2 linked regions of the Callithrix jacchus genome follow. The protein of the gene in region 2 binds, or shares a complex with, the protein of the main gene of each other region. Links are inferred from orthologs where the notes say so. Each region holds a gene or a part of one and is shown on either strand. Other genes may lie near its edges.

Evidence for each region. Proteins that work in one complex are often made in the same cells at the same time.
Region 1: the proteins of GSK3B (region 2) and FRAT1 are in contact, whole or in part, in a crystal structure (PDB 5OY4), measured with the Homo sapiens proteins. The link is inferred for Callithrix jacchus from reciprocal best matches to the Homo sapiens genes GSK3B and FRAT1. Residues at the interface, in NP_001139628.1 of Homo sapiens: Tyr216, Ile228, Phe229, Ser261, Gly262, Val263, Asp264, Leu266, Val267, Ile270, Lys271, Thr275, Pro276, Ile281, Tyr288, Thr289, Glu290, Phe291, Lys292, Phe293, Pro294, Ile296; in NP_005470.2 of Homo sapiens: His200, Leu202, Leu203, Leu206, Val207, Ser209, Gly210, Asn211, Leu212, Ile213, Lys214, Glu215, Ala216, Val217, Arg219, Leu220, His221.

The regions. Positions count from the first base shown.
Region 1 is NC_133513.1:90,146,552-90,150,623, reverse strand, and holds FRAT1 (proto-oncogene FRAT1), read right to left. Parts: upstream 2,876-4,072; 5' UTR 2,700-2,875; coding exon 1,860-2,699; 3' UTR 308-1,859; downstream 1-307. UniProt on the Homo sapiens protein: Positively regulates the Wnt signaling pathway by stabilizing beta-catenin through the association with GSK-3. May play a role in tumor progression and collaborate with PIM1 and MYC in lymphomagenesis.
Region 2 is NC_133516.1:82,946,447-82,950,082, reverse strand, and holds part of GSK3B (glycogen synthase kinase-3 beta), read right to left. Parts: intron 3,337-3,636; coding exon 3,298-3,336; intron 669-3,297; coding exon 482-668; intron 1-481. UniProt on the Homo sapiens protein: Constitutively active protein kinase that acts as a negative regulator in the hormonal control of glucose homeostasis, Wnt signaling and regulation of transcription factors and microtubules, by phosphorylating and inactivating glycogen synthase (GYS1 or GYS2), EIF2B, CTNNB1/beta-catenin, APC, AXIN1, DPYSL2/CRMP2, JUN, NFATC1/NFATC, MAPT/TAU and MACF1.

The sequences.
Region 1 (4,072 bases), on a different chromosome or scaffold from region 2:
TGCTAATAGAGGCAGCTTTATAACACATCTCCATCACTGACTAGTAATCCAAAAGGCTCCGAGGTTTTAACGAATGGGATTGGTCCAAAACCTGACCTCACTTTCATTTAATTTCATGCCAGCACCAATACACACCCAGCTGCGGAGACCTTGTCTAGCTAGTGAGCTGCTCAGACACAAAGGCGCTCTAATTACCATCCGCAAGCCAGGCTGACAGGGCTTTCAAGTGTTTTCATGTTTATGGAGATCAGAGAAATGTGTTCTGTACATCTTTTTCACCAATGGCAAGTATAAAATAAAACCAAACAAAAAACCCAACGCATTTATTCAAAGCAGGCATTTCAGTTAAGTTAAAATCCTATAATCAGGACAGCCACAACTCCAGACACTCCGGTGCGAAGTGTAGATATGTCAGTAGCCACATCTGGATGATGAACAAGCCATTGACTATAAAACTAGAACAACAGCACAGTCCCAGCGCCTTCAATGAGCGAACGGTATGTTCCAAGCACTTCACCATGGTTCGCAACGGCAAAGCCTGCAGCTTCTCCATTTGGAGGGTCACATTTTCTACTCGGTTTCCTGCACTTACAAAGGCCAGCTGGCATGACTGGGGGAGGGGCAGAGGGAGGAAATCAACTCCGTCTATCCAGGGAATTGCAGCTGTTACTGCAAATGGCCCCGGAGAGCCCATTATAAGCTGCTGTGCTAGGCTGTGTGTCCCTGGAGTGCCCATCACATGACGAATCCCTAGCCCCCAACCCAGGCCCCCAGGATCCCTGCGCCACCGAATGAGTAGGACAGCAGAGCCGAGGGGGAGAGGAGGAACCCAGGACTCCGTCTAGCGAGTTTCCGTGAAAGCCGGGGCCTCGGCCAGGGGCGGTGGTCGCCCAGGGAAGCACAGGCGCCCAGCACGTCCGCGCTTTCCCACACCCGCGGTGGCGGCGGCGCGCGTGTCCTCAGGAGACTCCAGCACTTGCAAAATACTGCGCTCTTCTCCGAACACGGGCAGAACCCGGCTACTCTGCCCCGCAACCCAGTGCGTGCCCAGGAAACAGTGACCTTGAACCCTCGGAGAGGCAGGCCGGCTGTGAAAATACACTTTAGAGAGGGCGTGGGGTTTACCCCGCGCCTCATTCTACCCTTCCACCACCATTCAGCACCCCCCGCCCCCACCTCCTGTCCGCACCTGTGTGGTACAGCCTTCCCTCCCACTCTGAGAAAGGCAGACAATTGCAAAGAGAGGGCGGGGGTTACTCCTATTCAATCCCCAAAGGGTCCCTTCATGGCACCGGCTATTTGATATTAAGCAGCACCTCCAAAGACACAAGATGTTTTTTTTTTTAAGTGTCGAAAATATTCAAGTCCGGCAGATTGGGGTGCACCCTGAAATTATCCACTCATGTTTTCCTCCCACAAAGTGGACCAGGAGCCAGCTCTGAAAAGGTGAAAGCAAGTAACTGGCATCTCATCCTCCGTGGTTCCAGCGCACCGCGATCCCGAGAAGCGTGGGCTGTGGCCACATGGTCGCCGGCTGGAGGGCACTGAGAGGCTGCACAGAACTGCAGGCTCCGCGGCCAGGTCGGGTCACGCCAAATAAGGAGTTCTACTGACTTTTAAGCTTGGGGTGCACTCTGTAAAATCTGCCTTAAATAGGGCCAAGTCCTGCATTCCAAATATTTTGGCCTTCGACCCCAGTGTCCCGTGAAACATTCGCGATTTTTCGGTCCCTCATCATTAGCTTTTTTTCTCTCGCTTCCAAAAGCCAGAGTTCTCCATCAGCCTGAGCAGAACTGCAGCCCTCAGGGGAACCCCTTGCCCTCCAGTATGAGGCTGGCGCTGTGACCACCCCAGGCGTGTTAGCTGCCAGGGACAAGAACGCCGTCGCCAGTTCTGGGCTGCGCCCTCCCGGACGCGCCTGGGTCACTGCAGGCCGCGCGAGGGCTGCGAGGCGAAGGGGGTTCATGCACCGGGGCCGACAGCGGTCCCAGGAGCGGGCGTTGAGGAAGCTTTGCACGTAACTGCAGCCGTCGAGAATGAAGCCTCCGCACGGCCTCCTTGATGAGGTTTCCAGAGAGCACTAGCTGCTGTAGGAGCCGGTGCGGGTCGTCGTCGCCTGTGCGGGTTTCGGGTTGGGACCCGCGTCGCTGCTGCAGGCGGCGGGAGGCGGCGGCGCCCCGGAGCCATCCTCGCCGGCACGGACCCGACAGCGGCTGTGGGACGCCCTGCTTGCCAGCCCCCGGAGGCCCATCAAGGTCGGCCTGAGGGGGCAGTGGGGACAGCGCGCTGGGGCCTGCCGCGAGCTCCGCCACGCAGTAGGGCGCAGCGCGGCCCCGCACGCGGCCGCGGTCCCCCAGGGTGCTGCGCAGGGCCCCAAGGGGCGCCGGGCCCACTGTCTCCATCGACACCGGCGGCAGCAGCAGCGGCACTGCCGGGGGCCGGGCCTTGTCCGCCCGCACCGCTGCAGCCAGGGGCCCCGGGGCTCGCAGCGGCGCCCCCGGGGGCGCGCACGGCGAGGCCGGGCTGTCCTGCGCCGGGTCCAGTTGCAGCGTCTCGCCGATCTGGGCCACCAGCCGGTCCACCTCGCCCGAGCCGCCCAGCGCCACCGACTGCTCCAGCAGGAGGAAGCTGTCCTCCTCCTCTTCCTCCCCCTCCGCCTCCTCGCCGGCTTCCTCTTCCTCCTCCCTCCGGCAGGGCATGGCCCCCTGTCCGGGCACCCGGAGCTGTGCGGGCGTCGCTGGAGGCTTAGCTGCCCGTGGGCGCGGTGGGCCGCGGCAGAGCGGGCGCGGGGCTGAGGCCGAAGCCCGGGCCGGGGCGGACACGGAAGCCGGAGCCCGCCAGGCACTCGAGCCGCGCGCCTGCCGCCGCGGGAGCCGGAATCCTGCCGGCTCGAGTTGATTTGTAAACAATGGGTGACGTCGTGCCGGGCCCTACCACCGCGCCGGGGCAGGGGTGCTGTGCCGCTGTGGGGCGGAGCTCCTGCGGAACTAGGGGTCTGGGTGAAGCAGGGCTGCCGTCTTCGCTCCTTCGCTAAGGGTGCTGTCTGGAGGGGCGCCCTGGGGACCTGATCCTGGCTCCCGCAGTAGGGCGCTGTTGGCATTTCCAGAAATGGACACCAGCGTGGACCCCGTTGGTTTCTTCCACACACAAGCACATACACTAACACACACACACCCACCCACACACCCCTTCTCTCCTTGCGTCAACTTAACCGGTTTTTAGCGTTTGCGCTTTTGAGGTCCAGCAGGCGGGCATCTGGAGAGGATGGAAAGGAAGAGGAGTTAGGCTAGAGATTTGTACGGAGATTATAGAGAAACGAAGCTGACAGGAATGGAAAGGAAGAAGGGGACCTTGTCGTGCAATGGGGGTGGCAGAGTTGGAAATGGCAAAGAAAGGCCACAGATGACTGTTTCTTGATAGAGATCCTGGGCGATGGGGGCCTGGACTGGGGTTGGCGTTGCTGGAGAGGAGAAAAGGAAGTTGCCAGTCTTTTTTTTTTTTTTTTGGAGGAGCCTCGCTCTGTTAACCAGGCTGGAGTGCAGTGGCACGATCGCCAGTCACTATAACCTCTACCTCCTGTGTTCAAGCAATTCTCCTGCTTCAGCCTCCCGCGTAGCTGGGATTACAGGCGCCCACCACAAGCCGGACTAATTTTTGTATTTTTAGTAGAGACGGGGTTTCCCCATGTTGGCCAGGCTGGCTTTGAACTTCTGACCTCAGGTGATCCACCCACTTCAGCCTCCCAAAGTGCTGGGATTACGGGTGTGAGCCACCGCGCCCGGCCTAGGTTACTAGTCTTTTTTGTTTGTTTGTTGAATGAAGTTTCATTTTTTTTGCCCAGGCTGGAGTGCAATGACACGATCTTGGCTCACTGTAACCTCTGCCTCCTGGGTTCAAACTCTTCTCCAGTCTCCCAAGTAGCTGGGATTACAGGCACCTGCCACCATGCCCAGCTAATTTTTGTATTTTTAGTAGAGACAGGGTTTCACCATGTTGGCCAGCCTGTTCTCGAACTCCTGACCTCAGGTGATCCGCCGCCTTGGCCTCCCAAAATGCTGGGATTACAGGCATG
Region 2 (3,636 bases):
TGTGTAAGTTCTTAGAAAGGGTTTATAGGATTCTAGTTTTCCTCCTGTTTGGAAGACAACTGAATTTATACAAATACAGCCACCAATTCATTTCCAGGTTTAAAAAATTGATCCAAACTCTACGGAAGCAAGAAATGCTACTATTTTAAGTTTCAGATCCAAACTTAAAGATGAAATTGTACATCAATCCAATTAGTGATAAACTTCACTCACTGAATTCTCTGTAACTTCTCATGTGCCAACATTATATTCTGCTAAAAATTAAAAGTTTTCCAATAGGCATAGCTTCTTTATGTGCTAGTCTTTTGTTCAAAACCATGTAAGTAGTGGCCAGCAAATCAGAAAGAATAATCTTTTCACCTTCATAAGTACTTAATATGTCCATTTTTGTCCTCCACATATTTTAATTAATGGAATGTCATTTCACACCCAGTGTGTAGCTTTCCTAGAAATGGTGAAAGAGCTAAGTATTTGGAGTTACCTTGAGTGGTGAAGTTGAAGAGTGCAGGTGTGTCTCGCCCATTTGGTAGTTTGACATTTGGGTCCCGTAATTCATCAAAAAATGAATGTGCACAAGCTTCCAGTGGTGTCAATCGGGCAGTTGGTGTATACTCCAGCAGACGGCTACACAGTGCAATCGCCTCTGGTGGAGTTCGAGGTCGGAAGACCTGCAGTACAAAAAAAGGGAAAGAATAATTAATGTTATATGAATCTAGGCAAGTACCCTGTGAGTAATGACTTAATTCCTACCATGTACAGAAACATGGTTGCATTTGGGAAAAGACCTTCTAGAATGGAAAGAGTTAAGTGCATATGCTTCACAGTGGTGAACTGCTGATTAAGACTATATGAGAAATGCTCGGAGAAAAAAATCTATATATGCTAACCATAAAGCAATACAATCAGACATGCATACAAAATATGACAGGCACATGGGAAAGGCTACATTCTGGAGGCAAGCACAACTAGAAAAACATTTTTAAAATTTTAAAGTTTTCACTGCTATGGCAGTAAATAAAAGTTTGCCTCTTTTGCATTTTTTTTTTTTTAGCAGAACAACTGTCAATGATGGGCAGCATTGTTGAAAAATCTGGCAATCAATATCTTAAAAGAAAGAAGAGCTATTTACTCTAGGTCTACAAATGCTACTGATTTGATTATCTCCAATAAACAGAGCCTATCATTATTTGAAGAAATTCTTGAAAAACTAGAATTTGATAAAATGTCCTATATTTTTTTCTCAAGTAGCTATTACCATCGATGTGGCCAGATTTCCCTCATTTGAATAAATATTCCAAGGTTTTAATCAAGGAGAGAAAAATATATTATCCATTAAGAATGATTGAGACATGGAAAAAGTCAACTGAAGGCTATATTGAAGGAAAGTTCAATTAAATTAATCTACTTAAAGGAGTAGATAGCTTTCTACTCATTTGTGTCTTAAATAAAATAAAACTAATCAATAAAAAAACTATAGAAATATACTTAATTCTAAATTATGACCAGCTACAAAATAAAAATAAAAAGGGAAGGAATAGAAATAAACAGATGAGGAACTTTTGAACTAAAGAAAAATGAGACATATATCCCTTGATAGGAAGAACACACAACCAAATAAAAGGTGTGATGATGGAGGTGGACAGACAAGTAGACATGTATAAACGGAGGGAAATGGACCTATAAGTCAGAAAAGCCCATTCATATTGTGACAGGGCATGAAGCAGCCTGGGAGACTAAGATTTTCTAGTAAGATTGGTTAATGTAACATCTGGTTGTTCACTTATGCTGACAGTCAGTAGAACTAGTTACAACCACAGAGCTCATTAGACTTTCCAGAGACTATAAGTATTGTCTACAGTGAAAAGATTTTATTTTAGTTTATTATTGAAAAAGACATTTTCCATGAAAATTGAGAAATTACGTAAAGTAGGCTCTTAGAAATTTATTTCAGAACATTAAGGTCTTAGTCAATTTCTTGGATATGTGAAAAAGAAAACCTTTTTATAAGGTCAAAACCTGCCTTATCTTTATTCTTTTGAATACTCTGACTTGCCTCAGTCAAGAAAACCTTTGAGTTATTGAAATGTTTAGCTCTTCCACTGTTCTTGTCCCCTCTCTTGCTCCCAAAGTCCATAATCAAATACAGAATGTAAAAAGAAAATAATCAGTGGGAGAACCCAGAAAATTTTCATAAAAATATTAAACATTATTGGTATATTTTATCCCTGAGGGCAAGTTTGCTTCTGTTTGATGGTATATAGATTTATTTTGCTAGCTAATCCAAAATGTTTTTGCACCAATATGGCAGCACATAAGTGGAATTAAAAGTAGCACCAAAGGAAGAAATAAGTATCTCCCGCTAACTTTCAAATGTAGGATAGATGGATGGTGAGTTATTTTAAATAAAAAATTTTCATGTTATATTTTCCAAGATTTTGTGTTAAAGCTATTAATAAACCAGTATTATAAGCTTATTTTCAATATTTTTTTAAGTCACCCATATATTTTGGTGTTTTACTGGCTACAAGTGATCATCCATATTGGTACTAAAATATTTATTAGCATATATTTGTCAGGGAATCTTAACTCATGAAGTTCAAGAGTTAAAAACTATAAAGAAAATAATACATTCCAAGAGCCTACATAAAAATCAAGATTTAACCTGCCTTTGCAAAAAGTATACATTGTTATTTTAAACCCTTAAGAGATTCTTGATGAGAAAAGCCTTGGTTCAGTACTCAGTGAATAAAGGTTAAGTGGAAAATTAAGTGGGGCCAAAACCCAGTATCTCCCACAGTTCAGATTTCTGACCATAATACAGTGTGAGTTAGCACACAACTTCTAAAAATTATAGGGAAAACTAGAAACTAGCTCATCTGAATTATTTCTGCTTCTAAAGAAAAGGAAACCACCAAGAACTGAAATGTGTCTTTTAATTAAAGAAGCTTCTGCTGTCACTTCTTTCCTTACTCATTGACATTGCTTAACACACAGACCTTTGGTTTCATGGATCTTCATCAATATTTATTCTTGCAATAGAAATAATAATTTTAAACCCCCACAATTCCCAAACTTCAGCCTAGATGTCTATGAATCACCCAAGAGACTGACAATCTAAATATATTATAAGCAAAACCTATGCCATACAGTGAATAAAAACAGAAATCGCAGCTACTTACATCGTTTACTATTACATTTCAAGAATGAATAATTGTTTAGCCTTTCAAAAAAGGTTTCCCCCAAGTTTTATAGACCTGCCCTGAAATTTTGGGAAAAAAAAAAAAATTAAGTACATACCCGTACTCCTGAGGTGAAATGTCCTGTTCCTGACGAATCCTAAAGATGATAATGCAGTGAAATAATCCAAACAGGGGAAGTCAATCCAAAAGAGAATAGTCCAGCAAGGAAAAATATATCCAATGTTATAAGAAATCCATGGTGTGGGGGGGACATAGAAAATGTTTATACAGTTATAAACTTTAAACATCAGTCTCCACAGTAGCAAGTCCAAGTTTTAAAAATTATTTCACCACAGTGTATGCAAAAAAATTTTTTTTGATTGTGCAATGGTGAGGCACAGTAAAGAAACATTTTAATTTTTGTTTATTATGTTCCAATGCCAGTGCGTTTATTAAA